Linked DNA regions of Rattus norvegicus. The protein of the gene in region 2 binds, or shares a complex with, the protein of the main gene of each other region. Links are inferred from orthologs where the notes say so. Each region holds a gene or a part of one and is shown on either strand. Other genes may lie near its edges.

Region 1 (14,804 bases), on a different chromosome or scaffold from region 2:
AAATTAAGTCTCAAAGAAAGTAACTCACTTAAGATGACAATGGAGGGGTTTGAACCCAAACACATAAGCCCCAGAGTCGATAGACCCATATCCCGTGCAGTTACAATTCTCAAGTGGGTTGGTCTCCAGAGTCTGTTACACTCTTTACAATCCCACAGTAAGGGCTGTGGGATGGCTCCATCAGTATGGTGCTTGCTTGTAAGCACAAAGACCTGGGTTCAATCCCTATTTCAAAAGAAATAAAGGGCTGAAGAGATGGCTCAGCCATTAAAAGCTAGGCTCACAGCAAGAAACAAAGAAGGAAAGGAAGGAAGGAAGGAGAAAAAGGAAGGGAAGGAGGGAGAAAGAGAGAAAGAAAGAAACAAAGAAAGGAGGGAGGAAGAAATAAAGGAGGGAGGGGAGGGAGACAGGGAAGGGCTGGCTGGCAAGATGGCTCCGGGGGTAAAGGTACTTATCACCAAGCCTGGTGATCTGCTATTTGGGTTCCATGAAGTAGAAGGAGACAACCAATGTCCTGCAGGTTTGTTCTCTGCTCTCCCTGTGTGAAATAATGGCATATATACCACTCCATACCCATGAACACAAGCATGTGCACACACTTGCACACACACACACACACACACACACACACACACACACACACACAAGATAAACGTAATTATCTGTAAAGCCAGGCATGATAGTGTGTTCTTTTCATCCCCGCATTGTAGAAGCAGACAACAAGTTCCCAGGTTGTCAGTTGGCCACTATAGTGATGTGCTGAGGCCCAGGCTAGTGAAATAGTCTGTCTCTACCCAGTAGTAACGGTGCACACTCTAATCTCGGCACTTAGGAGGCAGAAGCAGGCAGATCTCTGAATTTGAGGCCATCCTGGTCTACAGATGGAGTTTCAGGACAGCTAGGGCTACACAGAGAAACCCTGGCTCAACAAACAAAAGTGCCTGGCTCCAAAGGCCTAAAGTTGTCCTCTGCCATGTCCCCCAACACACACACACACACACACACACACACACGTGAATACAAACGCACCCTCAACAAAGATGAACATACACACACACAAAAATATTATGCACGAAAGATTACTAAAGACCACAAAAGATTTTATTTGTAAGGATTCCGTCGATGTGTATAGTGATTAAAAAAAATAAACCTGAGGAATTCTTTTAAACAGTTGCTAATTAATTTAAACATGGCTATAATAAGCCTGTTAGTGTCAACACAAAATAGTCTATGAAAGACAATCCTCTTCTCAAAGGAAACAAGCGAGTGAGAAGGCCGGTGTTGCTGACCATGCTTTCAGGTCTCCTTAACAGCTGGATTCTTAGATTTGTTTCTGCATGCAGTCGGCTGTGATCTCACACTTAAAAGTCCCCGTCTGGAAAATACCACCGTGCTCCTGTGGAAGAATGAGAGAGAGATAACTAGGTATGTAAGTGCTATCAACAGAATAGACTCGATCTCATGAAATCCTACAAAGGTCTGGAGTACCCCTGGGGTTCTCTAGACAGCCATTGAGAATAACTACTCTAAAGGGTAGATGGGCAAAGGCCTCTGCTCCTCCAGTAGCCTTGCATCCCAGGGAATTCGTTGTGCCTGTCATTTTCTTGTCTGCTTTTCCTGACAATGCTGGCATTCTGAGGCAGATCTCTTCCCCGTGTGTTCTGCACACAGCCACCAGCCACCAGCGAGATGATAACCCTGAAGAGAATCCATCAAGCAATGAAGATGGCCTCTGGCTCAGTCCTAAACGACTCTTGCTCGTTATGACCAAGAATAATAACCTGTTGGCTCCTATTCTGTCTCTAGGAAGAGAACTCGTGGAAAATATCCACACAATCCCATGGAGTCTAAGAAGCTTGGTATCAGAAGGGACGCCATCTCTGCATGTTAATTAAAATATGTAGCTGGATGTGGTGATGCACACCTGAAATCCTAGCATCAGGATGCTGAGGCAGGAAGATCTTGAGTTCAAGACTAGTCCCGGACACATAAGGAGACTTTGTCTCAAAATGTGTAGCGTGTGTGCGTGCATGTGTGCAAAATGTGCGTGCGCGCGTGCCTCCTTACCAGCAGTGTGCTACTTAGTATTTTGTTAACTTAACACAAAACCCAGTCAACAGGGAAGAGGAAATTTCAATTGGGAAAAACCGCCTCCATCAAATTGGCTTGATGAATGGTTGATGAGGGAGAGCCCTCGCTGCAGCTGGTACAACCCCTAGGCAGATGGTCCTCAGTTGTGCAAGAAAACAGGCTGGGGCTGAGACAATGGCCCAGCTGGGAGAAGCTAGGCTAATGCCAAAAAGGTAAGAAAGCGGGCTGAGTGAACCATTGAGCAACTCTCCCGTGGCCTCTGCTGCAGCTCCTGCCTCCAGGTTCCAGCCCTTGAGTTCCTGCCCTGACTTCCCTCAGTGATGCGATGTTACCAGGATGTGTAACCAAGAACTCTGCCCTCCCCAGGTTGCTTTTGGTCCAAGTCTTTACGGCAGCAATAGGAATCAGACTAAGGTGAGCCGTTTCGTTCAGGACATACCTCATACCCAGAGTACCAGGATGTCCTCTGGACTCAACAGCCTCTTTACTCACTAAACCTCACGTCTCCCCGAGCATCAGTGGAGAGAATCTCTGTTCCGCCGTCTTCTCATCCCCTCACTGGGGTACCAGCCCACACTCCTTCCATGTGCCTTGAAACTTCAGGTCGTTTTGCAGTAACGTTATTTTCTTCCTCCCACAAAGACATTGGTCCGTTCTGGTACAGATCCTAACTGCAAGTCAAAGAGGCCTCGAAAGGAACCAACCTTACACACATCTGGGTCTTGAATCTCTAACTCCAGAATTGTGAGGATATATCTCCAAGGTTTCAGCTACCCAGCCTGGCATAGTGCCCTACAAGAGCCAGAGTGAACACTATACGCATCCATCGGGGTCATTGTTAACCTTCAGAGACACAAACCAGAAAGTTCAACAGCGCCAGGTTATGTGATCTTATGTCTGCTTGGTTAGAATTTACTTTTAATAATGTGACTTCAGAAGGAAGTTTGGTGCGCATGCGTGCAGGTGCTCACAGAGGCCGGAAGAGGATGTGGGATGCCCCTGGAACTGGAGTAATGGGGGTAATGTGAACTGCCTGATGCCGTTCTCATCCCTAACTGATGGGCCATCTCTCCTTATTTATATCTGCTTTCTTGGTTTCCAGTTCCCTCGCTTTCTACTGTCATGTGAAAGTTTGTATATGCTCGGCCCAGGGAGTGCCACTATTAGAAGGTGTGGCCCTGTTAGAGTAGGTGTGTCACTGTGGTTGTGGGCTGATAAGACCCTCATCCTGCTGCCTGGAAGTCAGAATTCTTCCACTAGCAGCCTTCAGATGAAGATGTAGAACTCTCAGCTCCTCCTGCACCATGCCTGCCTGGATGCGGCCGTGCCCCTACCTTGATAATGGACTGAACCTCTGAACCCTGTAAGCCAGCCCCAATTAAATGTTGTCCTTGTGAGAGTTGTCTTGGCTATGGTGCCTGTTTGAAGCAGTAAAACCCTATGACCTGTCATTTCTCTATCCAACTGTCCTATTAGCATCTGACACCCATTTCCCTCTGCCTCAGTTACAAGATGGGGCTGGAACACAGCTGCTGCTATGTTGCCCTAGCTCAGTGGCTCTCGACCTTTTTTTTTTTTTTTAAAGATTTATTTATTTATTATATATGAGTGCACTGTAGCTGTCTTCAGACACACCAGAAGAAGGCCTCAGCTCTCATTACAGATAGTTGTGAGCCACCATGTGGTTGCTGGGATTTGAACTCAGGACCTCTGGAAGAGCAGTCAGTGCTCTTAACCACTGAGCCATCTCTCCAGCCCCAGTTCTCAACCTTTTCAATTCTGTGACCCTTTATTGCAGTTGCTCATGTTGGGGGTGACCCCAATCATAAAACTACCTCCTTCATAACTAATGTAGCTACTGTTAGGAATCATAATGTAAGGGGTTGGGGATTTAGCTCAGTGGTAGAGCGCTTGCCTAGCAAGCGCAAGGCCCTGGGTTCGGTCCCCAGCTCCGAAAAAAAAAGAAAAAGAAAAAAAGAATCATAATGTATTTCATATGTGACCCCTACGGAAGGCTTGTTTGACCTTCAAAGGGGTTGAAACCCACAGGTTCAGAACCACTACTCTAGCCACGCTCCAAGTTTTCAACCTGGAAATATGGAGGAGGCTCAATTTCATCTTCCCAGGAAAATGAAGGTGTTTCCCAAGCCAGGTGCCCTTGCCATCACTTCTGGTTCCGGCCCCACTATGCCTCTGGTCGTGAGGTGCAACTGTACAGGAAGACAGAAGCCAGCTGCAACCGGATCTCTGAGCGGCATGCCAAGGGCAGGCAGCTCCCACTTCTGCATGCAGCAGCAACTGTGAGGTGAGCGATGGTACAGGCGATCACCATGGAAACCCCTCCATGGCTCTGCATACTGGAGAGCCTGCGGCCGGTTCCACTGTGTGGTGTGAGAAGTGGACCATCAATCCAAAGTTCCTCTTACAGGACAACGTGGTAACACAGGACAAAGCACTCTCCCTGTGGGAATCCAATTCCACAAGCTGATGGGACTTGGAGACTAACAAAGACAAGACCCTTGGTTAGAGTTTACCCTAGCTGGACAGAGGAACAGGTCTTGCGTCTGGTTGTTCCTGTCTCAAACACATGTGGCTGAGCTCTCCAAAGCTACTGAGTATTGAATTCAAAATCAGCACTGGGGCTGGCAAGACGGCTCAACATGTTATACAGGGCTTTGCTGCCAAACTTGACAATTTAAGTTTTATCTCGGCGACCCACAGGACGAAAGCAGAGACTCCCACAAGTTATCCTCAGACCTATACACACCCCTATACACACACACACACACAGATTTAAGTTAGCGTTGGGCTGTGATGCGAGCCCTGTGAGTAACAAGCACCCTGAGAGGATTGAATAGGCTCCAGTGGGCATTTACCTGAAACTTGAAGACTAGCTTCCTGCTTCCACGTCCAGGTATTTATCAGCGTAGGACACCTGCTAAAGTAGTCCAAGCCTTAGAGCCTGGAGATCCTGATAAAGGGACACCTTCATCTACCCTGGTTCTCTGAGGTGCTAAGAGCATTGAAAGGCTATGCTTGGAAGGGCAGATTCAAGATGGCCCCCCTGTGGTGGGTATTCTTGATTGTCAGCTTGATTAGGTTAAGGAATGTCTAAGACATCAGTGAGGATCACCTGAGAGTAGCTGAGGGTTTCAGACAGGATTTAGAGAGACCCACCAACTCTGGAATGTAGATGGCTCCATCCCTTTGGCTGGGGTCCTGGATTGACCAAGAAGGGAGAAAAAAAGCAAGCAAGCTAAGCACCGAGCCCATTTTTTTCCCTGCTTCCTCACAGAGATTTAACCTGATGCCACAGCGAGGAGGCGCTCCAGCCTTGCCTTCCCGACTGTGATGGATTACATAATACTAAAAAGTGGGACCAAAGCATGGACCCGCTGCTGTAATAAACATGACAGTGTGGCCTTGTAGACCTTGGGGAACACATCCGTGTGAGGGAGTTAAGAGTTTGGAGAAGCAGGCTGAGTGGACCGTCCTGGGAGGAGTTCAGAAGACTGGATCGCTGCTAGAAAGACGGACAGGAAGGACTGCCCCCTGGGTTACAGAGAACAAGAGCTCTTTGCGGGAACTGAAGACCACTCGTGTTACGTTTGGTAATGAATCCAGCTCCATTCCAACCAGATTCCAAAACCTGAGTGGGGCTGAATTCAAAAGTGGCTTTATTATTGCTGGATAAAATTAGGACAGCATAATAGTGACTGCGTGACTTAGTTAATGCTATACCCAGACTCAGTGAGAGCAGCGAGCACAGAAAGGAGAATGTGCCATTTCCCAAGGACCTTGAACCCAGTTAGAGCAGAGGGCAGGGCTGAGGCAGGCGTGGCTCTGATTTAGACATCACCCCCATCAAGGAAAAGCTTCAGACTTCACACCATCCAGAGCTCCATGGGACAGTAATTAAAATTCATTTTTAAGGGAGAATGCCCGGGAAAGGAAAAGTCTTCCAGGTACACGACTGGAAAGTGGCGTCCCGGAGCACTGTCTTTCCAGTGGCAGATACAAAAGCAGACCAGAGGACCTCATTCTTCCCCCGCTGAAGCCCCTTCCTCCAGGCTTCTGATCACTCTTCATTTCCGCATGTATCCTATACCATACCCTCAAGAGGTAAACTGAGATGTAAGGCCCTCCCCTCCTCGGGGCTGGAGCCCCACATCTTTTGCAAAACACATCATACTTCAGAGACACGGGCCATGCTGTGGTAGTTGCAAAGTATCGCTCACTCAAAAGCATAGGTCCCAGCTCCTCATCGTTTAAGAATATAGGCTTAGACATCAACAACACTAATGCTTATCAAATACTTATGTCCACGATTGGACACACAACCAATTCCTATAGGTGGGGAGTGAGCCCTACCGTAAGTAAATTACCTACAGTGATCGTCAAAGTATCTGACTAGTGAGCCCAAGGAGACTGGGTTCTCAGAAGGTTTAGAGCCTTTCAAATTCTGGCTACCAAATAGTAAAGTCATTAGTATACGGTAAGTGAATACTAATGACTAAACCGAGCTGGTGATAAAGAATGCCACTTAATGAGTTGGAAGGGACTCTTCTAAGACACCTGATAACTGTCACTGGTTAACAGCCACGAAAAAGCAACAGAGTACATGTTGACGGATATACTTCCAAAGGAAAACAGAGCGTCTCCCAACACCAAGAAACACCAAGCAGGCTTTGCTTTGGGTTAGGTAGTCAGAGCATACACACAAATGCTTTATTAATACAACTTACATAAACTATAAAGGAGTAAGACGTTTAAATATCTGCATCGTAACAAACAGGCGGCAATTCAACATCCAGAGCGGAGAGGGCGCTGGGAGGAGACGGCAACGGATCTGGAGGAAGAGGGATTCCTCATTGGACTCTGCACTTCCGTTATAGCCATTATCCATAACAAACATTAGCTGCTAATTTCATCCTACATTCATGTAACGAATCTCACTCGCACATGCAGGTTTCCCAAACGACGGGGGGTGGGGGGGGTGGTAGGGGTGGAGGGGTAGGGGGTGGGTATGTGGCCTGGGAACTGACCCTCCTCAAGAGGCAGGTCTTTGAAGTACTCGAAGCTTCTTGCTCTCCTGAGCATAAAGTCTCACCAAATCATAAAATCAGACTGGCAACCCACCTCATCAGAACAGGAGGGAGGCACTTCTGACCACCGGTTCCCACTAAAGCCTTAAGCTTTCAGAGGTTACAAGCTAACTGTCGGTCTACACTGGTCCTCTGACAGCCGAGGACAGAAACTGGAGTGTTCGTCCAGTCTCAGTTACTTTACTATAGGCTTCAACTCATAGCCTAAGAAGCTGTGTGGTAAACTCCACCCTCTGCTATCACCAAAGGCTTACCAAGATTCCAGAACACCTTTTTGGACCCAACCACAACGACCAAGGAAAGTTACTGTTCTAGATGTTGTCCCTGTATCCCCAAAGCTGCACACTGGCTCACCCATACAACTGTCCCTACAACAACACATGCCATTTAACAAGTTGCTTACAGCCCATCGAGAGGGCATGGCCTCACTCACCAGATTCCCACGGTAGGAAGGGCTTCTGCAGAGGGGAAGGGGGGTCCAGGTGCAGCAGCTTCTCAAGCCCCCTCTCTTCATTCAGGATCATGAGAGGCACTCCATTCAAGGGGAGAAGTGAGATCTGGTGCTCTTCAGGCAGGTCAAAACTCTCAAAATCTGTCACAGAGGGGAGGCAAGCATCAGGGGAGTGCTCCCTTGGCCCCAGTGAGGTCCACCAAGTCAAACTATTCTTCGCCACTATTCGTCATTTAGAATATTGTTAAGATCCAACTTAACAATAGCCAGTTAGATAATAAAGTTACCACCCTAATTTAACTATTACTTTTGCCAGACTCAGGAAAAAGTATAATTTTAACGGCCCAGCTCTTGAACATTCTTTAATAGGTTCTGGGATGCAAGTATTATGGTGGTGTGGGAGAGTGACTGTAGGCAGATCGCCGTGAGTTCAAAACCATGCTGAACTGCAGAGCAGGTCCCCATTCCCTGTCAAAGATTCTGTTACAAAACTACGGTGAGCATGCTGATGCCACAGAAAAAGGGATTTACAGTGCTCTGAGCTGCAAGCCAAGCCAGGGTTGTTCTCCTGGGAGACAGTTTTCATCTGAAAGGCAAACTACAGTCAAGAGAATGTATTCCTTCCATACTCTCTCCTCAAGGAATGAGGGAAGTCTACCGCACTTCAAGGAAAATGTTGTCACCAATGAGGAATTCAGAAACGGGAAAAAGTTTAGAATCGTGGAACACTCACCTGTAATAGTTAGCATGACATTAATTTGAATTTTTATCTTACATTATTTATACTTGGCCTTTTCTTTTTTGGTTTGTTTGTTTAAGACAGGGTCTCTCTACATAGCCCTGGTTAGCCTTGAACTCGAGAGCTCTGCCTGCCTCTGCCTGGGACTAAAGGTGTGCACCCCCAAGCCCACTACACTTTTTCCCCCCACAGGGTCCCTTCTACATAGCCCTGGCTGTCCTGGAACTTGCTCTGTAGATCAGATTGGCCTTGAACTCACACAATGATCACCTTGAACTTGATGTTTCCTTGGTATCTTTGCTCCCATTCTGAAGGTGATACAAGTGAGTCCACCTGAACAGTCTATGTTTTCAAAGTAACCCAGGTTCAGACAGTCTGGGATTCTAGAGCTGCACATTATAGTCGCATGGAGAAATCAGTCTGAGAGAAATCTCCAGCAGAGGGCCTGCCCATCATACCAAAGGCATTGTTACCTAGAGGATCGAAGGGGAAGAACTTTTCTATTTCTGGGTAGGCATCATCAGGAGCAGGAGCAGAGCCTTGTGTCTTAGTAGACTTCTCGGTGATCTAGAAAAACCAAAGAGAATAAGCACTGTGAGAACGGAAGTCTTGCCCACCTGCATGGTAGCATGAGATTGGGCAGCCTCTTCAAATGCTGACGTCACTATTTAGAATTTGTCAATTCAGTGCTGTCTTCTAAGAAGTCACAGTACTTAGTTTTCAGGATTCAGTGTAAATGTAAGGAGAGAACTGACTCCTGGAAGTTGTCCTCAGACTCTGACACACATGCCATCACATGTGCCAGCCCTGCCCTACGCGCACGCGCGCGCACACGCACACGCACGCGCACACGCACGCGCACACACACGCGCACACACACACACACACACACACACACACACACACACACACACTGGAAAGATGGCTCTGTGGTTCAAAGCACTTGCTGTTCTTACAGAAGACCAAGGTTCAATTCCCAGCACCCACAGGGTGGCTCACAACTATCTTTAACTCCAGTCTAAAGGAAACAATGTCTCATGTCCTCCTCAGGGATGGTACACGTACATACTGTGATGCTTTGTATATGCTTGGCTCAGGGAAGGATGCTATTAGGAGGTGTGGCCTCATCATTGGAATACGTGTGTTACAATGGACGTGGGCTTTTAATACCCTTGTCCTAGCTGCCTGGAAGCCAGTCTTCTCCTAGCCACCTTCGACAAAGATGTAGAACTCTCAGCTCCTCCTGCACCATACCTATCTGTACACTTACTACCATGCTTCCTGCATTGATAATGAACTGAAGCTCTGAACCTGTAAGCCAGCCCCAATTAAATGTTGTTACATTTACTGTTCACAGCAGTAAAACCCTAACCAATACAATAGCATACAGACAAATATCCAAACGCATAAATTAAAAGTACTCCTATTGGGGCTGGGGATTTAGCTCAGTGGTAGAGCGCTTACCTAGGAAGCGCAAGGCCCTGGGTTCGGTCCCCAGCTCCGGAAAAAAAAGAACCAAAAAAAAAAAAAAAAAAAAAAAAAAAAAAAGTACTCCTATTAAAGTCACGACATCTTAGCACCTGTCAACAGATATCACTAAGAATAATGAGCAGGGTTAATTCAAAGTTAATCAACTCAACTGTTCAAACCTAACAGTGAGCAAAACAGGCTTGAGGCACCCCCAGAATAGTCGCTAATCCTGGAAGTCACTTTTACCTTATAAAAGTGTGATTTTTCTGCCACTGTTACCTTAATTACTTTGTTAATATCAACAAGTTCGTGTTCCTTAAGCAGATGGAATTAAGAAGCAGCAGAAACATCCGATCTTATCCACTCTATGTGTATACCAAAGTAGGGAGGAGGGTGTGTAGTTCAGGCTAGCCTCCAACCAGCCTCTCCTCCAGCTTCAGCCTCCCAAGTGCTGGGATTGCAGGTGCCTATCACACCCAGTTAAATACTTCACACGTTTGCTTCAGGCCTCCCAGCCAACTGCTTCCTGGCACTAGCTAAGAACAGCTGAAGCAGAAGAATCAGCATTAGCTACTGTCCCCGAGAGCTGCAATCTCAGGGTGCTGAGAAGTAGCACAGCCTGACGCTTCTGCATTTCTGGACCTCTATTTACCTCGGACTCAGAGGAAGAAAGGCAGGGGGAAGTCCGCTTTTAAGCACTCGAGTGCTACAGCGGGGCTTAGGGATGGCTCGGTGGTTAGCACTTGCCACTCTGCTCTTCCGAAGGAGCCAGACTCAGTTCCCAGCACCCACGTAAGGCAGCTCACACCTGCTGCAACTCCTTTTCCTAAGAACCCAGCGCCCTCTTCCGGCCTCCTTGGGTGCCTTGCACACATGTAGTCTGCTTGTACGCAGATACATATACATGAATAAAAACAATAAACTTTTTTTTTTATAAAGCGCCAACACATGTGCAAGTATTCGCAGCCCTCGCTCACCTTTTTCACACTCAGAGTCGGCTGTTTCGATTGCAGGGGTTTACTACTCTTCACTGGCTTTTCAGTAACTCTGTTGACAGTTCCCAGAGCCTTCCTGCTGGCTTTAGGCAAGCCTGGGGCACCGAACACTTTGCCGACTCGTGGCGTTGAAACCTGCAATTTCCCATCTAAGGCTTTGACTGTTGAAAAAAAAAGGACAATCATAAAAGTATAACATACTCAGTGGGTAGAGGGCTTTCGGCCATACCGGACAACCTGAATTCAACCCCCAAAACCCACATAGCATAAGGAGAATGGACTCCCACAGGTTGCCCTCTGATCTCCACAGACACACCATGGCATGTGTGCACTCCCCCCCCCCCATACACAAATAAAGGTAATAAATACATTGTTCTTCAAGGTCAGGCCATGTAAACACCTCATCAACTTAATTCTCACCCACAAACCTGTGCTTCATTTTGGGCAGTGACTTAGAACCCTTCAATAAACTCATTAAGGCAATAAGCATGAAGCCAGGCACCGTAGCAACACACATTTAATCCCATCACTTTGGAGGCCGGGATAAGTGGATCTCTGAGTTCAAGGCCAGCCTGATCTGTATAGCAAATTCCAGGTCAATTAAAGCTATGTAGGGGAGCCCCATCTCAAAAAATGATTTAAGCATAGTGCCTGGGGATGTGACCATTAGGGAGAGTGATTGCCTAACATTTGAGAAGCTCCAAGTTCCATCCCCTACAGCGCATAAGCTGGGCACAGTGGCCCCTGCCTCTAATCAGTGCCCTGGGCTGGGGGGGAGTCAAAAGGATCAGAAGTCCAAGACCATCCTAGGGTTACATAGGGAACTAGAGACCAAGTCTGAGCTACATGACACTGTATTCTAAAAAGAAAGATAATAAGCGTGAAAATATATCAAACCTGACTCCGGTCAACCACAAAAGTACACTAAATACTAGGGGCCATAATCCATTCACGACACCTGTGTATCTCAAGGCAGCTGATACTTACCACCAGAGCCCAGCTTCAATCCATCCTTAGATGCCAAACGGCTGCCTGGCTCTTCGTTATCCTTATCAACAAAGATCAGAGTAGCCATCCTGGATTACTGAGGGGAGAGACCTGCATATTATAAAACTGGCATTGAGGAAGACTGGAAGAACTAAGCAGCAACAGAGACCAGAGCACCTATGCACAAAAATTTAGAAGTAGCTGGAGAAGTCAACAGGCTTAATCCAGACCTTAAATCTTCACGCCAGGGTCATAAACGCTAAACTACAGAAATCGTTTGTTGATGTTGGCACCCAAACAACTGTCTCCAGCCTACCAGCTCAGCGATAGGAAGGAGAAGCCAAGAGGATCAGATGCTCAAGGTTGGCCTCAGCTACATAACAATTCAAGACCAGTCTGGGTTGCTTGAGACCCTGAAGTGTGTGGGAAGGGAAGAAAGAAAATGAAAACAGCGTCGCTTTGGGTCAAGCACGCCAAGAGCGCCCCGGGACGCCGGGCCCAGTGAAGCACAAGTCCCGACCCTGCTCCAGCCTCCAGTCCCGGGTCTTCCTGCCCCGCCACCCCGAGTTCGCCCAAGACATCTTTGGCAACGACACACTCGCAGCTAAAACTCACCCAAGACTACGCCACCAACGACCCGGCGCACCGCAGTTTGAATTCCAACTCGCGCTTCAATTGGTCCATCCGATGGGAGGCGGGGCCTAGTGTCTGAGAACCAATGAGAGCAACGGAAGTTTTCAACCACCGCCCCCTCCCGGAAAAAAAAAAAAGAGTAGTAGTAGAGACCAACATAAACACAAACACTTAATTAAAGAAGCCCAGAGGCTTAATCCAGACCTTAAATCTTCAAGTCAAAGTCAGAGGCACCAATCTACTGAGATGGTTTGGGTCGGCCCCCATCAAAACCTGAGACTGGAAAGAGCACTTGCTCTCGAAGAGGACCCTGACTGTCCTGGAAATCACTATGCAGACCAGACTGACCTAGAACTTAACACATCTACCTGCCTTTGCCTCTTAAGTAGTAGTTAATTTCTTATTTTTAGAAACTGGGAAACTCGACAGGTTTGGAAACAAAGAATGGACATTTGAGAAGCCAGGCCTTCCCGTTGAAATCGGCATTGTTAATAACCCTTTCTGCTATGTGTGTGATTACGTTTAATTAGCTTAAAAGTTCCTTAGTCTCCTGAAAACATTCTAAAGTTCCACGATTGACAGTGGGATACTTGAGCTAGGATTTTCGCCCATCCCCCTCCTGCTGGGCAGAATCTTTCTAAAATGGTCGTGACAGTTTGTGAAGTCCTCAGCTCTATGGAGCCACAAGAGATGCTGATGTGTAAGTGGTGAGCGGTAGATCAAGAAAGCTTTCTATTAGGAATAAGATAGCAAAATTTCACAGCCCTAGTCAAATCCTGCATCTCCTTCTCTGTGACTCTTCCTCAGTCTAGACACAAACGGACGCCGTTGTTTATTCAATACCAACAGATCCCGTTTAGCTTCGGGATCTTCCCATAATCCTATCCAAAGAGGTCCTTCAAAATGAAGAAGCTGGGCGTGGTGACACACACCTTTAATCTCAGCACTTGGGAGACTGAGGCAAAAGAAGGTCTGTGAGTTTGTTGAGGTCAGCCCGGTTTCCATATTGAGTTCATGAAGCTATACAAGACCACATAGGGAATATCTGCAAAAGAAAAGAAAGGAAATATTCAAAGAGAAGTGGTGGATATAAATCTTGGTTTTGTGAAGTGATGAAGGCAAACATTTTGGTACTGATAAAATTTAAGGAACTTACACTTATTTTGAAAAGTTTCATATATATATGTGTGTGTGTATATATATATATATATATATATATATATATATATATATATAGAGAGAGAGAGAGAGAGAGAGAGAGAGAGAGAGATAGCTTACCTAGAAGAGTGTAAATCCAGTGATGTGGTAGACAGGAGGACCAGGTCATTCTGTGCCACATAGCAACTTCAAGGCCAGCCTGAGAGAGCAAAGATAGGAGAGGGGAGGGGACATGATCTTTAACTCTAAGAAAGGAATTATGATCTGACTTATGTCAAAACACACTTTTTTCCAGAGATACTTTTTGGGCATGATGTTCTTAAGTAGTCTTTTGAGGGCTGAGTATGTAGCTGGGTAGCCGTGTCTGCCTAACATAAGAAAGGCCCTAACCAGGGTGCGGGGAAGTGGGGAGAGATATTTAGAAACTCAAAGCAAGAAAGTGGCAAAACTATTTTCCTAACGTCCACTAAAATACTGTTCACCCAGAGAATAAAGGAATCAAATCTAAATTTAAAAGGAGAAAAAACAACTGAGGAATGGTTTTGTAGCCGTCAGTCTACAACCAAGAGAAAGCAAGCTTGTGATTGTCTAATCAAATTTCAACTGAAAAAGGGGTTGAGGGGAACACTTATAAAGTGAGATAGGAAAACAGTCACTAGCAGTAGAATAGGATCCAAAAAAAGTAATCTGGGTAAATGCGAGGACAGTTTGATGTGTGCGAGTAATTCCTTTACCATTGTGGTTGAGAGCTATTCCCTACACAGGGCTACCCTCGGCACACCAGACTGGGATCTGTCTTACTCTACTTCCTCAAATCTGTTTGTGAGCAAAGTGATGTTCCTAATAAATATGTAACTCTAGGAGTTGAATAGAAACAACACATTCAGGCATGATGGACGCATGGATGTATGAACACGTGGACACACACACACACACACACATACACACACACCACTTATACCTTTACTGTCCCATCTATTTCCTGTTCCTTTTATCCCTTCAACCTGTTATTTTCTCTCTGCATCTATTTCTGAATTGCAGTTTCTTCATATTAAATCACCAGCACATAGAAGTCTCGCTTTCAAAAATAAATCTGTATACACTCCCACAGCTTCCATATGAACATTGTCTAATTCCTTGAGAGGTTTTCTTCCCCTCTCACCAACAGGAAACAT
Region 2 (15,850 bases):
AGGGCTAGAGCTATGTACAGCACCACAGCCAGCAGAGCCCACACTCTTAGGCCACATGGCTTCTCACAAGCACAGGTCAAAGGTGCAGGTGCTCGGGTTCCAGTTTAACCCTGGCCGACTCCAGCCATCCCATTACCTTTGCCACCAACTGATAGATGGCCACCAGGATTTGCAGGGAGGCTGCCGTCTGCTGGAGACACCGCACAGCTGGGGCTGGCTCCTTGGTGAGCACTTCCTTCCACAGAGTCAGGGCCTGGTCCAGGCATCTGGACTGCGCTGTAAACCAGAAGGTGACACTTTCTCCACCTGGCCATCCTGAAAGAGCTTGGCTTTCCCCACACCATGCTGTGCCTTTGAGCCGGCCTTCTCCCTCGCTGCCCCACATCCCCAGCATAAGGCCAGCCTGGGGCGCGTTGGGAAGCCTCCCAGATGCCTGCCCAACACTGCTGAGCCCTCACCTGCATCAGCAGCCAGATTGAAGGCAATGTTACTGTATAGAAAGCGATCTTCCTGCAGTTTATCTTCATAGTTCAGGTCATTGACTTCAAATTCCTCCAAGTTACTAGGGGCCTGGGCCCTCCGATCCCGCTCGATACCCTGGTTGGGAAAGAAGAGAGATTGAAACAAAACCCAGGACTGGTACCAGCTTGGTGGGAGCAGCTGGGTCGGGCTCAGTTCCACATACTTCCTGCATTTTGGCCTCCAAGGTGCAGATGTAGAGCCATAGCAGGGCCTGTGCTTTGTCATCTAGAAGGCGGTCCTGCTCCTGTGCCTCGGGACTCACGGACTCCAGAAGCTGCAGGGCCTCCTGGATAGCATCCAAGGCAGAGCTGTAGAAAGATGAATGTAAGTGGGGGTGTAGCTGGTCTCTGCTACTATGTGAGAAGGTAGGGGAGGAAGGGGAGGAGGAAAGGAAGGAGAGAAAGAGACAGATATTTCTGAATCTGATCTCTCATTTTTGCTTCTTCTTTGAGCACCACTACTAATAACAAACCACCCTGAACGGCCAACACCACCAACCCCACTTCTCTGTGCCCTAGCATTTAAACAGCCTCTGAAAAGTTCCCAAAACTCCAAAGGTCACACAATTGCAGAAACTGTCTGCAGCTGGCAAAACCATGCCCTCTGCTAGAGCACGAGGCAAACCATAGTGAGCTGCGCTTAACACAAGGGGAGCACTCAGCGATAGACTAGGAAACTGATCCCCATTATCAGAAACATCAGGACGGGCAGTCAGTCTCCTGTTATCTCCTCACCAGTTTGTCTGCTGGGCAAAGCTATGGTAGCACAGCACTTGGGCCAATTCCACCAGGTGGGTAGCTCGTGCCCAGGCTCCAGCTGCTGTGTCCTCAGGGCTGAGCTCAAGCAGATCGCAGATGACGTTGAAGCGTTCCTGCCCAGTGTCAGCCCGTACTGCCTTATAGGCCTGCAGCTCCTCCCTCAGTAGCAGAGACTGCATCTCTGGGTCCCAGCAACTTAGGCTGTCTCGCAAAGTCCTGAAAGGCAGATCAGCACCAGGGTGAAGACCTCGAAGAGTCTGTACCTTACCGGGGAGCCTCTGCCTTAGCTCAGTACTTGCTGTGCATCTAATTGTGTAATCAGGTCATATGGCTCCTCTAATATAGGGGGCTCCATGAGGGGTCACCTCCAAACCTGTGCCATGGCCTATAAAATAAAACCCTGTGTGGCCTGGCTTCTAACCCTTCTACTGGCAGGCTACACCCCAACCTCTCTCCCCTTCCTCAATGCTGGCTTTCTCTAACCAGTTCCCACTTCCAAGTTTGTTTCCACCCCAGCACCGGTATTTTGTGATTAGTTCTTTAAGGCATTTGATGATGGATTTCTGCATATCTTCAGGCCTTACATACAGACCACTTGCCTAAATTACCCCCCTAAAGTTTACCCCTTTTATTTAACAGGTCATGGATGTTCTGTCTTCATGAAAAATACATGCAATATACTTAGTTCTATTTCTCCAAGTAGAACAAAAACCAAACATTGCTTCTGACCACTATCTGCCCTATAACCAGTTATACTCAATGCATAACTGATGAAAAAAATCACTTTCAGAAGGACTGAGGAGGCCAGGCACAGCACTAAGGACTGAGGCGGCCGGACCCAGCGGCACAGGCCTTTAATTCCAGCACTAGGAAGGCAGAGGCAGAAGGATCTCAAGGCCAGGCCTACATAGACGGAGTCAGGTTGAGGGACGTGCCCCAATCCATGGGCAGAAAGGATGGTCCTCCTCCCCCCTCCAACTCACTGCAGTTGTAGCTCCTTGTCTCCTGCCTTGGCTGCATCCATTTTGACCCGAACCCAGAAAGTGACTGGCTCAACCATGTGTTGGAGACCGTAGGGTTTCAGAGCTGCCAGCCATAAGGTCACCATCTTGCAGCCCTGGGCCTGTTTACCCCATTTCTTCAAACTCTCCACATGCAGCCGGAAGCACCTATGTAGCTGACCAGAGACAGGAGGGTTGGAACGTGGAGCCACTGAGTGCGCGCAGCGCAGCTCAGCGCAGCGCAGCGGGCAGACAGCCAGCACAGCACAGCGCAGCGCAGCGCAGCGCAGCGCGGCGCAGCACGTGGAAGAGAGATAGCAGGTGGTCCTCCTGCCTCTGTAATCCTCGAGAACCAAGCTTCTGGTACTCTCTGCTTCAGGAGCCCCTCTACGGTCTACATCCACAACCTGAAGGACCCATTCCACCTTCTGTGACTCTTTCCTTCCCACCTAACTAACTCAAGATGAGGGCCCTGTACCATCCATTGCTTTTTGTCACAGCCGTTCCTGCCCAGGCTTCTGCCCTGCAACTGTTTGCCAGTAACAGCAAAGCCATTCAGACGCCCACCTGACGTCATGGCTCCATCCACACCCCTCAGCTCCTCATGCCCACACACCCCAAGTCACTTGCCAATGCAGCAACCCGTCAATTTCAGCCGTTCTTAACCCACTGCTTTTTACTCTGGCCGCCCTGGGTGTGTGGGAGACTTTTTAGAACATGTAGATGCCTGCGATCTAGGGTGAGGATCCAACGTAATTAACTTGAGGCAAGCATTACACTAGAATGTCCCTGAGGTTCACTCAGATGACTCTAATGTGAGGCTAGGATTAGAACTGGCTTACGAGAACACCAAAAAGTAAAAAGGAAAAGAAGCCATTTTAAGGATAAATTGTCAGGTTGAGGAGGCCAGCCTGGTCTACATAACAAATTCCAGGCCAGTAAGACCCTGTACCAAAAAAGGAAAGAAGGAAGGAAAAAGCAACAGTTCAGGCAAGGTTGTTAGGGAATCACTGCCCTGGGCACGCTGCCAGCCAGTCCCACTGTCCCGCAGAGCTGCAGGCTGGCCCTTTCACAACTCGCCCGACATAACCTCCCTTTCCACACCTCATTCCCTCCTACCTTCTCAGGAGGCACTTCGGGACAAGCGCCTGACTTAGCCAAGCCCAAGTGCTGACAGACTGGCTCTGAGATGGCACAAGCCTCCTCATAGAGCTTCTGACTAAAGAAGCTGTAGGCCAAGTTGCTGGTGTAAGAGGCTATAGGGAGAGAAAGGACAACCGATGTCAGAGGTGCTCAACCTGGGGTCATCTTGTTAGCTTCCAGATAAGGACACAATGGAATCCAAACCATCAAGGAACATACAGGAGGGCAATCTTTGGCTCCACCCCAGCTGCTGCTCAGGATCCCTGTGAGGAAACTCACACCAGCAGCCCCTCCACACTTGCACGAGGCTGAGCTGCACTGACCTCCCTTGCCTCCTCCTCCCCTCATGCCACTGGTTGTTAGAGCCATGCCTGCATGGATGTTCTCTCCCCTGGCATCGTCATGCTAAAGGCTTCCAAGTGTAATTCAATGGTACTCAGACTCCTTGCCCTTCCTGGACTCTGCTTTTTTTTTTTAAAAAAAAAGAAGGTTTACTTGGGCTGCAGAGATGGCCCAGTGGTTACAAGCACTGGCTGCTCCTCCAGAGAACCTGGGTGTGAGTGAGGACTTACACACCTGTTTGTAAGTCCAAGATCTCATGCCCTTACACAGACATGCATGCAGGCAAAACACCAATGCACTGAAAATAAAACTAAAATTTTTTTTTTTTTAAAGTTTACTGGGATTGGGGATTTAGCTCAGTGGTAGAGCGCTTGCCTAGCAAGCGCAAGTCCGTGGGTTCGGTCCCCAGCTCCGAAAAAAAAAAAGTTTACTTATGTGGGGTGGAGAGATGGCTCTGTGGCTAAGAGCACTGACTGCTCTTCTAGAGGTCCTGAGTTCAATTCCTAGCAACCACATGGTGGCTCACAACCATCTGTAGTGGGACCTGATGCCCTCTTCTGGTGTCTGAGGATAGCTACAGAGTACTTATGTAAGTAAAGTAAAATAAATCTTAAAAAAAAAAAAAAAAAAGCTTACTTATTCTTTTTTCTTTTTTTCCAAGACAAGGTTTCTCTATGTAGCCTTGGCTGTCCTGGAACTCATTCTGTAGACCAGAATGGCCTCAAACTCAGGAGATCCCCCTGCCTCTGCTTTCTGAGTGCTGGGATTAAAGGTGTGTGCTACCACACCTGGCTGTTTTTCAAAACAAGGTTTATCTTGGAACTCTGTAGACCAGACTGGCCTTGAACTGAGAGACCCACCTGTCTCAGCTTCTCAAGTGCTGGGATTAAAAGCATGTACCATGATGCCAGGCTGGCTTACTTACTATTCTACCTTACTTTATGTGTATGGTGCCTACAGAGGTCAGGACACTGAATTCCCTAGGACTGGAGCTCAGGTGGTTCTAACACCACACGGGTACTAGGAATCAATCACAGGTCCTCACATAGAACGGCCACTGCTCTTAACCACTGACCCATCTCTCCAGCTCCTGGGGCCTCCCTTTCTAATCTACTCCTTACCTTTCATTTTTCATTACTTCTTTCAAAATTGTATTTGTTTTGTTTGTGTGTTCATATGCCACAGTGCACATGTGAAGGGCAGAGGACAACCTCAAGGAATTGGTTCACTTTCTATCATGTGGATTCCAAGGACCAGACTCAGGTCACCAGCCTTGGCAGCAAATGCCTTCACTGGCTGAGACATCTCCCTTGTCCCCACTTTTGAGTTCTGAAATGGGGTCTCACACTGAGCACTTGGTGCTCTTCCTTCAGGCTCCCTGGAGCTAGGAGCAGAGGTGAGTCCCCAGGCCCAGGTATTATCATTTACTTTAAGATTTCGATTCAGTGTTTATGTGTATGAACGTTCTGCCCTCACGTATGTGTACATGTGTGTGCAGGTACCCACAAGGGTCAGAAGAGTGAGGAGATTCCCTGGACTGGAACTGGGTTTACACATAGTTGTGAGCTGCCATATGGATTCTGGGAATTGAACCCAGGGCCTCTGTAAGAACAAGTACTCTTAACTGTTGAGCTACCTCTCCAGCCTTTCACCTTTTAATGTTAGTATTTCATTTATCCAGTTACATTTCCCCCAAACTAGGATGAGGTTCCAGTGGCAGGAATGGATCTGACATGGCTTGGCAGTTTTATTGAGTGAATAAATTTTAGTGTTATTTATGGAGCTGGAGGGGAGGAAGCAGTTCTAAGGCTAAATAAACTCCTTGACCTAATGCAGTTTCTCAAAATAGATGTAGTCGGGTGCGGTGGCGTATGTCTTTAATCCCAAATTAAATTAAAAAAAAAGGTAAACTATGACTTGTGACCCCAGACTTGGGAAGCTAAGGCAGGGGTACTGCTATGTGTTTGAGCCCAATTTTTACGACACAGTGTGACTCTGGCTAAAAAAGAAAACTAACAAAAGTTAAGGTGCATACTTCTGTAACATTGCATACTAGGCACACATTTTTTTTTTATAAACAATTACCAAATCAAACTGCCAAACATAATGAGAAAAAAATCCTCTGTCCTAAGCCTCACCATCTCTCCTGTATTAGCCTTACAGATATGTCTCTCCCTGCCTCCTTAAACCTTTGGCACTCAGCACAGCGAGTGGTCAGAAATGTATACTAGCCAGCCTGACAAGTGATAGCCGTCCCCTAGAGCAGTGCAGCGGAACCCCAAGGCACTAACCAGTCACGCCCAGGTAGTCAGCCAGCTCTCCACCAGACAGGCCCTCTAAGGCCTCCAACATCCAGACAACAGCAGATCTGCAACTGTCCACTAGCTGAGCAAGCTCAGCTACCTGAAGGAACAGAAGGTCGAGGGTCAGAAGTCATGCAAGGGCCACTGGGACTTCCACCTGAACTGACACCCGAAACCAAACATTTTTTTTTTCCAGATGGGGTGTAGCCCTGGTTATCCTGGAACTCGCTCTGTAGACCAGGCTGGCCTCGAAGACTGAGATCTGCCTGGCTCTCTCTGCCTCCCGAGTGCTGGGATTAAAGGAGAGAGCTGCCACTACCCAATTACCCAAAGCTCTTCTGAGAAGCAACCTCGACTATCCATGTTTCCTGACTCCCAGATGGTACCTGACAGCCTTGGGCAAAGTCATACACAATCCCAGTGAAGAGGTGGAGGGTATGGAAGTGCATCTGGAGCAGGCTCTGCTGCTGCTTAGAGGACGCTTCGGAGGCCTGAAGGGAGAAAGGAAGGGGCAGCTGGTCTGAAACCCAGAGACGGCGAGCTTTGTGCCAAGTACTGTCTAGAGTCCTTGAAGCCGGGCACAGCTCAGAGGGCAGCTTATCAAGGGTAACTTCCAGTTATTTACAGAGCCACTCCCCACCCCTATACTCTAGGTCCTTAACTCACTTCTCGCAGGTGCCGGACAAGGGAGTGGTATCCCCCAAGAAAAGCAAAGAGATTCAATATGGCATCAACTCCATAGTGCCTCTTGATGGTTCTCTCCAGGCCTGAAAGGAAGAACTGGCAGCTGTCATACAATGCCCGGAGCGGGGGTGATGGCCCATCCATACTGCTGTTCAGAATAGCAGCTGCCTTCATCAGGAGCTGGGCCACTGCCCCTGGTCTTTCTTCCACAGCTTCCAGCAGCTCAACCCCCATCTGGCACAGTTGGAGGCTGGGAGCTACATTGCTATTTCCTAGGTGATCTCGAGTCTTCTCCACTGCTATGGTAGCCTTGTGGTGGTGCTGGTTCCAGCAGAGTCGACGACAATGTTCCAAGGTGAGTTCCAAGAGGCAGAGGGCCCTCTGAGGAGAGAGCGGACCAGAAGCCCTACCACCCTCGCCTACTAAGACTCTGATCACATGCCTAGAAAGCAAGTCATAGACGAAGTCAGCGTCAGCTGCATCTAGACCTTGTCCAGTAGCATCAAACAGCTGATAGGCGGCAACTACCCGACAGGCTGTTGGAGAAGCAAAGTGAGGGACCTCACAAGGGAGGCTGCCATCCTCCAAAAGCACTAAGAAACTCAAGGCCTTCAGCCTAGCTGAGAATGCAGCTCGCCGCTCTGACAGGGCTTCTGCTCCCTTCCAAAGCAGAGAAAAAGTACCCCGGGTCACAGCCTCATAGTCCTGAGGGGCAGCCTCTCGAGAGTTCTGTACCAAGCAGGCATGGAGAGGCTGGGCAAGGCGGAGCACAGCGTCTGGGTTTCCCTGAGTCAAACCATTCCGAAGTAAGATAAAAAGAATGCGTTCCAGATAGAGGGGAGGGCGCTGTGGGGTAGACAACAAGTAGCCGTCACAGGCCAGCTCTGCCAGGTCCAGGATACTTCTCAGGTGACCAGGGCCGTCAAGCTTGGCAGTCAGCTGCTGGGTGCAAGCCCTCAGGATGGTGTCACAGACCTGTCTTCTCTCAGCATCGGTTCTGCTGCTGACTGAATCAGTTCGAGATCTAGACAGGAACTCCTATGAGAAAGAATTAAGCCGGGTAAGCGGAAAAGAGAGGTAGGGAAATAAAAGTAGAAATAGGGCCTCTCACATGTATCTCTCTCCAAATTAAGGCAAAACACAAGCCAGGCTTGGTGGCGGCGCAGGCCCGTGCGGAGGCAAGAAAATGATAAAGTTCAAAGAGCCTCCCAGGCTTGAGTGAGTTCAAGGCCAGCTGGGGCCACTTAGTGAGAGCACTGTCTCCAAATGAAAAAGTGAAAACAGGAGGCTGGAGATGGCTCAGCGGCTAAGAGCACTGACTGCTCTTCCAGACGTCCTGAGTTCAAATCCCAGCAACCACATGGTGGCTCACAACCATCTGTAATGGGATCCGATGCCCTCTTCTGGTATGTCTGGAGACAACTACAGAAAGAAAAAGTGAAAACAGGCCAGGCATGCTGATACATGCCTTTAATTTCAGCACTTGGGAGGCAGAAGCAGGTAGATCTGAGTTTAAGGTAAACCTGGTCTATATAGTGACTTACAGCCAGGGCAAGAGATGAGACCCTGTCTCAAAAAAACTTGATATATATAGCTTATATATTGTACTATATACAATATATAAAGATATATGTTATTTTTAAAAGTGAAAACGTATATAGAGTTATAGCCCCGTGAAGTGCTTTCTTGAATGCATGAGATCCTGTAGTATGGAAAAGTAATTTTTAAAATAAAAACAATAAATAAAAAGGAAAAGAAAAAAAAAAAAAAAAACCAGATAATCTCAGAAACTAGGTGTGTCCTGAGCCAGAAAGGGCCCCACCTTCAAGTCAGGCAGCAACTCCTGGGTCTCTCTCTTGCAGCAAAGTAGAGTGGCGAACTTGACTCCTTTGAAGTTCCTCATGGCAAAAGTCTAGACACAACGAAATGGTTTGTAGAAGCCTGCGAAGGGTCATAATGGAAACAACGGGAGGAAAGAAGGGATTGAAAGTTGTAAGAGGATTCAAAGGAAAAAGCAGGCAAAGAATCCCACCAGAAATCCTATGGGGGAGGGGAGAACATGCCTGGACGCTGGACTCCCGTTATAAACTGGCCCCTTGTCCCCCGTGTCCCACCAGGCCACCCCAGGGGGCTCCACAGGGTCCTGGGCACCGACCACACCCTTTCGGGGGTCGCCGAGCCTCCGCGGAGTCGCCCCGTTTCTCCCCAGGTCAGCAATGGGAACGTCACTTACCGCAGCTTGAGCGCGCGCTCACCAGACCCTCCAGGCCGTGTTTCACCGGTCTAGGACTACCCTCCAGCCGGAGTTCCACCAAACACCGGTGGGTACGCTTCGTTTTCCGCGCCAGCACCTCCTTTCAAATATCTCTAGTGGCCAATCAGCGAGAAAGCGTTACGCAGGCCGGCCGCTTGGCCCTCTGGGAGTTGTAGTTTACCCACCGCGCTGTCTGTCACGTGTTCCTGGAGGGGCGGTTACCGCTCTGGAGCGGAAGGACTGGGGCACCGGCTGGTTCTTCAGCTGCTGTCAACTACAGTCACCCTGCAGTGTGACTTCGTCTTTCTTTCCTTTATCCCCTGAGCTCAGTCAGGGTTTTAAATTTCAAGGGAATTAAAATACTAAGAAACCCACATGACTTGCTCTGTGTTACTAGAGAGGAAAAGGTGTAGTAACCTTCGACGGACTTTTGTTTTTCCTTTTTTGAAGTTGGTTCTTATTACGTGGTCCAGCTGTCCTGGAACTTGCTGTGTAGACCAGGCTGGCCTCTGAGAGGGATCCACCTGCCTCTGCCTTGGGAATGCTGGGGTTCAAGATGTGTGCCACCACACCGGGTCTTTAAAACGCTTTTTTTTTTTTTAAAGATTTATTTATTTCATGTATATGAGTACACTGTCGCTGTCTTCAGACACACCAGAAGAGGGCATCGGATTCCCATTACAGATGGTTGTGAGCCACCATGGGGTTTCTGGGAACTGAACTCGGGACGTCTGGAAGAGCAGTCAGTGCCCTTAACCACTGAGCCATCTCTCCAGCCCCAACGTGGAACTCTCAAGGGCTAAGATTCTGGTAGCAAAGATAATAAAAGAGAAGAAGAAAAGAAAGTAAAAGGAGGAGAAGGAGGAAGGGAAGGGAATAAGAGGAAAGAAAACGACATCTCCCCCACAAGAAAAATTCAACGTGGGAATGGTGATATTTAATGCAGACACTAAAGATGCTGAGCTTTTCTCTCAAGTCAGGGGTTTGAGGAAGAAGTGACCATCTTAGAAACTCACCACCTCTATTTCCTAGCCATGGCCCCGTTCCCTATCTGTCTGCCTACTAAGCAGTTGGCCTAACTCCTGGACCAGAAAAAAAATGCTTGGAGTTCAAAGCCAGCCTGGGTTGTCTAGTGAGATCTCGTCTCAAAAAAAAACAAAAAAACAAAAAAACAAAAAAAAAAAAAAAAAACCAAACAACGTTCTAAAGGGGGGGGGAGGGTTGAAAAGATAGTTCAATGGTAAACAGCCAAGACTGCTCTTCCCACATGGTGGCTCACAGGTCTCTGAAACTCCAGTTCCAGGGATCTGGTCCATTAGGGTACCAGACACACACATGGTACCCAGGCATATGTAGAGACAAAACACCTACACATATAAGTATATCAAATCAATTTTTAAAACGAACAATACTTGTTACAAGGTGGGCCTGTTAACCCAAGGCTATAATCCCAGGTATTGGGAAGCCTGAAGCAAGAAGATCTCAGGTTCAAAGAGTGAACCACAGAGGGAGTTCAAGGCTAACATGGGCCATTTAAACCATTTCAAAATAAAAATTTGCCGAGGATCCAGGTTTGGTTCCCAGCACCCACAGGGTGGCTCACATCCTCTAGGGATCATTATGTCTTCTTCTGACCCCTTCCGGCACCAGACACATAGGGTCACATAGCCATGCAGGAAAATAACTCATAAAAAAAAAAAGAAAGAGGCCTTTTAAAATAAACAAACAAAAATAAAAAGTGAGAGGGCTGTAGATATAGCTCAGGGGTTAAAGCAGATGCCTAGTGTGCACAAGGCCCAGGGTTCTAGGAATCAGTACCACAGTAGACCGATCAGTAGTGATTAGACATTTCCAGGATACCCCTCGTAGGGTAAAGGACCTAGGAGAAAGGAGGATGAAGACATCAATGGTCGAAGCGTTGATCTCCTCTTACACCACAATACCTAGCTTATTCACACGGTCTTTACCGAAAGCTGGGTGCAAGTCAGGAATATGGGATCCAACACTCGAGAGACCGAGAGAGAAGTTAATCAGGGGTTCAAGGTCATATGTGGTTACTTACCAAGTTCAAGGCCAGTGAATTCTTAGAAGCCTGGTCTCAAAACAAAGCCAGGTGTGGCGGCTTGAAGCCCAGCCTTTAAGCCCAGCACCCTGGAGGCAGACACAAGTACATCTCTGTTACTGAGAGGCCTGCCTGGTTTACAGAGCAAGTATCAGGTCAGCCAGGACCTTCTAGACAGGCCTTATCTCAAAAACACAACAAAAAAAATGTACCTGATAAAACTTGACTCATGTGATTTATTTATTGTGTATGTATTCATAGGGTCATGTACGGGTACCTGTGGAGGTCAGAGAACAGCTCCCAACTTGAAGAAGTCTGTTCTCCCTCAACCATGTGGGTTCTGGAGATTGAACTCAGGTCATCAGGCTTGGTGGCACGAATCCTTAACTTCTGAGCCATCTTACCAGCCCTAAGTCATGTAGTTTAATCTTACATCTGAATACTGAATGTATAAAAGAGGCAGCATAGAGAGGGGAATGAACTTTGAACTTGAGACTGGGCAGTGAAGCCAGATTCATTTGCTCAGTCTCTGTAAAAAGGGCGTACAGACTCCCAGCTCTCGGCAGGAAGAAGCCAATAGTGTCTCTGAGTTTGAGGCCAGGGTCTACATAATGAGTTCCAGACTGGCCAAAGCTACATAAAAGTACACTGAGATAACCCTATCTCAAAAAGGGGGAGGGGGGAATCTGGAGAGAAGGCCCAGTCTGTTCCTGTAGAGGATCCAGTTCCTAGCACCCGTATGGCAGCTCAAACCATCTCTACTTTGACACCCCTTCTGACCCTCTCGGGCTTGTCAACTCATGTCATATGTATGTGTACATTCAGGAACACGCATACGCTTAAATGTTTTTAAAAGGGGGAGGAGTCCTAGGGTTACAGGTTGAGTCAAATGTATTAGAAATAGTTAGGGATGTATGATTATAATTAGGGATTCTTAGAGATAATTAGGGTTACATCCTTTCTTGTGTTGTTTTGTTCTGTTGAGACAGGGTCTCTCTGTGTAGTCCTGGCTATCCTAGAACTTGCTCTATAGACCAGGCTGGACACAAAATCACAGAGATCCCTTTGCCTCTGCCTCCCAAGCGCTGATGTTAAAGGATGTTAAAGGAGTGCCCCAACACCACAATCAGCTAAGGGTTACATCCTATAATGAAGACCCTGAGAGTGCTTTGGATTTCATTTGTGGAAGGTTTTTTTTGTGTGTGTGTGTACAGAAATAAATATGTGTGTGTGTATGTGTGTAGAAACATATGTAACATTTACACATTCAAATACATACTTGAACATGCATGTGTACATGTGTATATATACACACAGACACATATAATGTGTGTGCACATATACATATATACACATACACACATGTATATATAATGTCTTAGGGATAAGACCCACATGTACTGCCTGTTTTTTTTTTTGTGTGTGTGTCAACTTGACCCACGCTAAAGCCATCAGAGAAGAAAGAGCCACAGTTGAGGAAATTGAGGAAATGCCTTCATGAGATCCAGCTATAAAGCATTCGTGATCAATAGAGGACGACCCAGCCTATAGTGAGTGGTGCCATCCCCAAATAAACCCTTTTCTCCCCAGCTTGCTTTTAGGTCATGGCGTTTTGTTGCAGCAATAGATACTCTAAGATACAGAGATGTCTTTGTTTTCTTTTTTTTAAAGATTTATTTATTTATTCTATAGAAGTACACTGTCACTGTCTGCAGACATACCAGAAGAGGGCATAAGATCCCATTACAGAGGGGCTGGGGATTTAGCTCAGTGGTAGAGCGCTTACCTAGGAAGCACAAGGCCCTGGGCTCGGTCCCCAGCTCCGGAAAAAAAAAGAACCAAAAAAAAAAAAAAAAAGATCCCATTACAGATGGTTGTGAGCCACCATGTGGTTGCTGGGAACTGAACTCAGAACCTCTGGAAGAGTTCTCTTAACCACTGAGCCATCTCTCCAGCCCAGATTTCTTTGTTTTGTTTTGTTTTGAAGGTAGGGTCTCATGTACCTAGGCTATCCTAGAGGCTGAACTTAAACTCCTGATGCTCTTGTCTCCGCCTCCTAAGTACTGTGATTACCGTCCTGGAGTGCCACACTTAGTTTAATTATAGAATCAGTTAATTACAGAATTAATTAATTTATTAATATTTATTTGCAGTGCTATGGGTTAAACCTAGGGCATTGCTCATGCTAGGCAAACCCTCTACCACTTAGCTATACTTCAAATTTCCAACATAAAAATGTTTTTAATAAATCTTTGGATTTATTTTATTTTTGGGGGGTGGGGTGAATTTTTTGATAGAGTTTTTCTGCATAGCCCTGGCTGTCTTGGAACTCACAGAGATCTGTCTGCCTCTGCCCCTCGAGTGCTGGGATTAGAGGTGTGTGCCACCATGCCCATCCTCCATCTATGGGTTGTTTTTTTTTTTTTAAGATTTATTTATGGGCTCAGTGGTGAAGAGCACTGGTTGCTCTTCCAGAGGTCCTGAGTTCAATTCCCAGCAACCACATGGTGGCTCACAACCATCTGTAATAGGATCTGATGCCCTCTTCTGGTGTGTCTGAGGACAGCTACAGTGTACTCATATAAATAAAGCAGACAAATAAATTTTTAAAAAAAGATTAATTTATTATATATAAGTACACTGTCTTCAAACACACCAGAAGAGGGCGTCAGATCCCATTACAGATGGTTGTGAGCCACCATGTGGTTGCTGGGAATTGAACTCAGGACCTCTGGAAGACCAGTCAGTGCTCTTAACCACTGAGCCATCTCTCCAGCCCCCATCTGTGTTTTTAAAGACTTATTTTATGGTTATGTATGATTGCTTGTATGTGTATATATGTAGCACATACATGTCTGGTGCCCAAGAAGACCGTGGGAGTGGGATTGCTTCACTTGTAACTAACATTACAGGAATTGTGAGCCTTCTTGTGAATGGGTACACTGAACCTTCTCTCCAGATCCTACATCTCCATTTTTTTTTTTAAAGATGTATTTATTTATTATATATAAGTTCACTGTAGCTGTCTTCAGATATACCAGAAGAGGGCATCGGATCTCATTACAGATGGTTGTGAGCCACCATGTGGTTGCTGGGAATTGAACTCATGACCTCTGGAAGAGCAGTCGGGTGCTTTTTTTTTTTTTTTTTTTTTTTTTTTTTTGGTTCTTTTTTTCGGAGCTGGGGACCGAACCCAGGGCCTTGCGCTTCCTAGGTAAGCGCTCTACCACTGAGCTAAATCCCAGCCCCAGTCGGGTGCTCTTAACCGCTGAGCCATCTCTCCAGCCCCTACATCTCCATTTTAACTGGGACCCATGGGGCTGAAAAGATGGCTCGGTGGCTAAGAGCACTGAATGCTCTTCCAGAGGTCCTGAGTTCAAATCCCAGCAACTACATGATGACTCACAACCATCTGTAATGGGATCTGATGCCCTTTTCCCTTCTTAAATAAATAAATAAATCTAATAGCAGCGGCAGCAGCAGCAGCAGCAGCAGCAGCAGCAGAAGAAGAAGAAGAAGAAGAAGAAGAAGAAGAAGAAGAAGAAGAAGAAGAAGGAGAAGAAGAAGACGACCTTGGTGACCATGACAGTAATTTACAGTCCTTGAACAGCTGCTTTTACATTTTGCTTTTGAGACAGGGTCCCACTGTGTATCCCTGGTTGGCCTGGAACTCAGAGATCCTTCTGCCTCTATAACCCCAACTCCAGGGCTAGGATTAAAGGTATGTGTCACTTAGTGAAAAACAGTGTTAGGACTAAGAGTGCCCCTCAGTGGTCGGGCATATCTATTTAGAATATGGTCATGGTTTGAACCTCAAGTTACAAAAAGCTTGTCAATTGAACCATAGCTCAGTTGAGGCTAGCATGCACAAAGCCCTGGATTCAGTTCCCAGTACTACATAAAACAGGAAATACCTCAAATGTCCACAATCCCAGCACTTGGGAGATAGAGGCAGAAGGATCAGAAGTTCAAGGTCATCCTTATGATACAGTGAATTAAAAGCCAGTCTAGGCTACATGAGATCCAATCTTTTGAAAAAGGCATGTGGGGGGCTGGACAGATGACTCAGCAATTAACCTTGGCTGCTCCTCCGGAGACCAGGGTTCAATTCCCAGCGGGCATGTGGCAGCTCACAACTGTAACTCCAGTTTAGGGGGATCTGACACCCTCATACATGTTGAGGCCTGCCCGGCTAGTATAGCTGTTGTCCCTTTGTTCCATGCCTGCCAGTCAGAAGAATAGGCTGACCCAGCAGGATCAAGCTGACCACATACCCAGTTATGTGATGATAACGACAGCAATTATGAGCATTTGCTTCTCTTCCAGAGGACCTAAATTCAGTTCCTATCACCTACACGGCAGCTCACAACTGTCTGTAACTCCTCTCCCGAGAGGTTTGACAACCTCTTTTCACCTACTTGGGCACCAGGCACACCAGTGGTAAACATACATATACTCAATACACATTAAAGATAAAATGAATAGGGCTGGAGAGATGGTTCAGTGGTTAAGCGCATCATCTGCTCTTCCAGAGGTTCAATTGCCAGCAACCATATGTTGGTTCATAAGCATCTATACTGGGATCTGCTGCCCTCTTCTGGCTTGCAGGTACACATACAGATAGAGCATTCATACATAAAATAAATACTTTTTAGACAAATCTAAACACGTGTAAATACACTAAAAACATTTATTTTCATGTGCATTGGTGTTTTGCCTGCATGCGTGTCTATGTGAGAATGTCAGATCCCTTGGAATTAGAGTTAGACAGTTGTTAGCCA

Evidence for each region.
Region 1: the proteins of Espl1 (region 2) and Pttg1 are in contact, whole or in part, in a cryo-EM structure (PDB 7NJ1), measured with the Homo sapiens proteins. The link is inferred for Rattus norvegicus from reciprocal best matches to the Homo sapiens genes ESPL1 and PTTG1. Residues at the interface, in NP_036423.4 of Homo sapiens: His402, Thr405, Val406, Tyr409, Ser461, Asn462, Tyr465, Tyr468, Arg505, Arg508, Glu512, Glu544, Thr547, Phe548, Arg551, Gln590, Lys593, Ala594, Val595, Arg596, Thr599, Gly600, Arg603, Gln634, Cys637, Tyr638, Trp683, Ile686, Glu690, Ile697; in NP_001269311.1 of Homo sapiens: Tyr111, Pro112, Glu113, Ile114, Glu115, Lys116, Phe117, Phe118, Pro119, Phe120, Asn121, Pro122, Leu123, Phe125, Glu126, Ser127, Phe128, Asp129, Leu130, Pro131, Glu132, Glu133, His134, Gln135, Ile136, Ala137, His138, Leu139, Pro140, Leu141.

What each region holds. Positions count from the first base shown.
Region 1 is NC_086028.1:28,393,861-28,408,664, forward strand, and holds Pttg1 (securin), read right to left. Parts: upstream 12,467-14,804; 5' UTR 12,454-12,466; exon of another isoform or gene 12,069-12,453; intron 12,017-12,068; exon of another isoform or gene 11,950-12,016; 5' UTR 11,927-11,949; coding exon 11,839-11,926; intron 11,013-11,838; coding exon 10,834-11,012; intron 8,954-10,833; coding exon 8,860-8,953; intron 7,789-8,859; coding exon 7,630-7,788; intron 6,941-7,629; coding exon 6,861-6,940; 3' UTR 6,784-6,860; downstream 1-6,783. UniProt on the Homo sapiens protein: Regulatory protein, which plays a central role in chromosome stability, in the p53/TP53 pathway, and DNA repair. Probably acts by blocking the action of key proteins.
Region 2 is NC_086025.1:135,295,898-135,311,747, reverse strand, and holds the start of Espl1 (separin), read right to left. Parts: upstream 9,033-15,850; 5' UTR 8,987-9,032; intron 8,969-8,986; exon of another isoform or gene 8,817-8,968; intron 8,695-8,816; exon of another isoform or gene 8,666-8,694; 5' UTR 8,657-8,665; coding exon 8,576-8,656; intron 7,792-8,575; coding exon 6,736-7,791; intron 6,561-6,735; coding exon 6,456-6,560; intron 6,170-6,455; coding exon 6,058-6,169; intron 3,538-6,057; coding exon 3,401-3,537; intron 2,458-3,400; coding exon 2,264-2,457; intron 1,497-2,263; coding exon 1,257-1,496; intron 831-1,256; coding exon 686-830; intron 598-685; coding exon 459-597; intron 277-458; coding exon 137-276; intron 1-136. UniProt on the Homo sapiens protein: Caspase-like protease, which plays a central role in the chromosome segregation by cleaving the SCC1/RAD21 subunit of the cohesin complex at the onset of anaphase. During most of the cell cycle, it is inactivated by different mechanisms.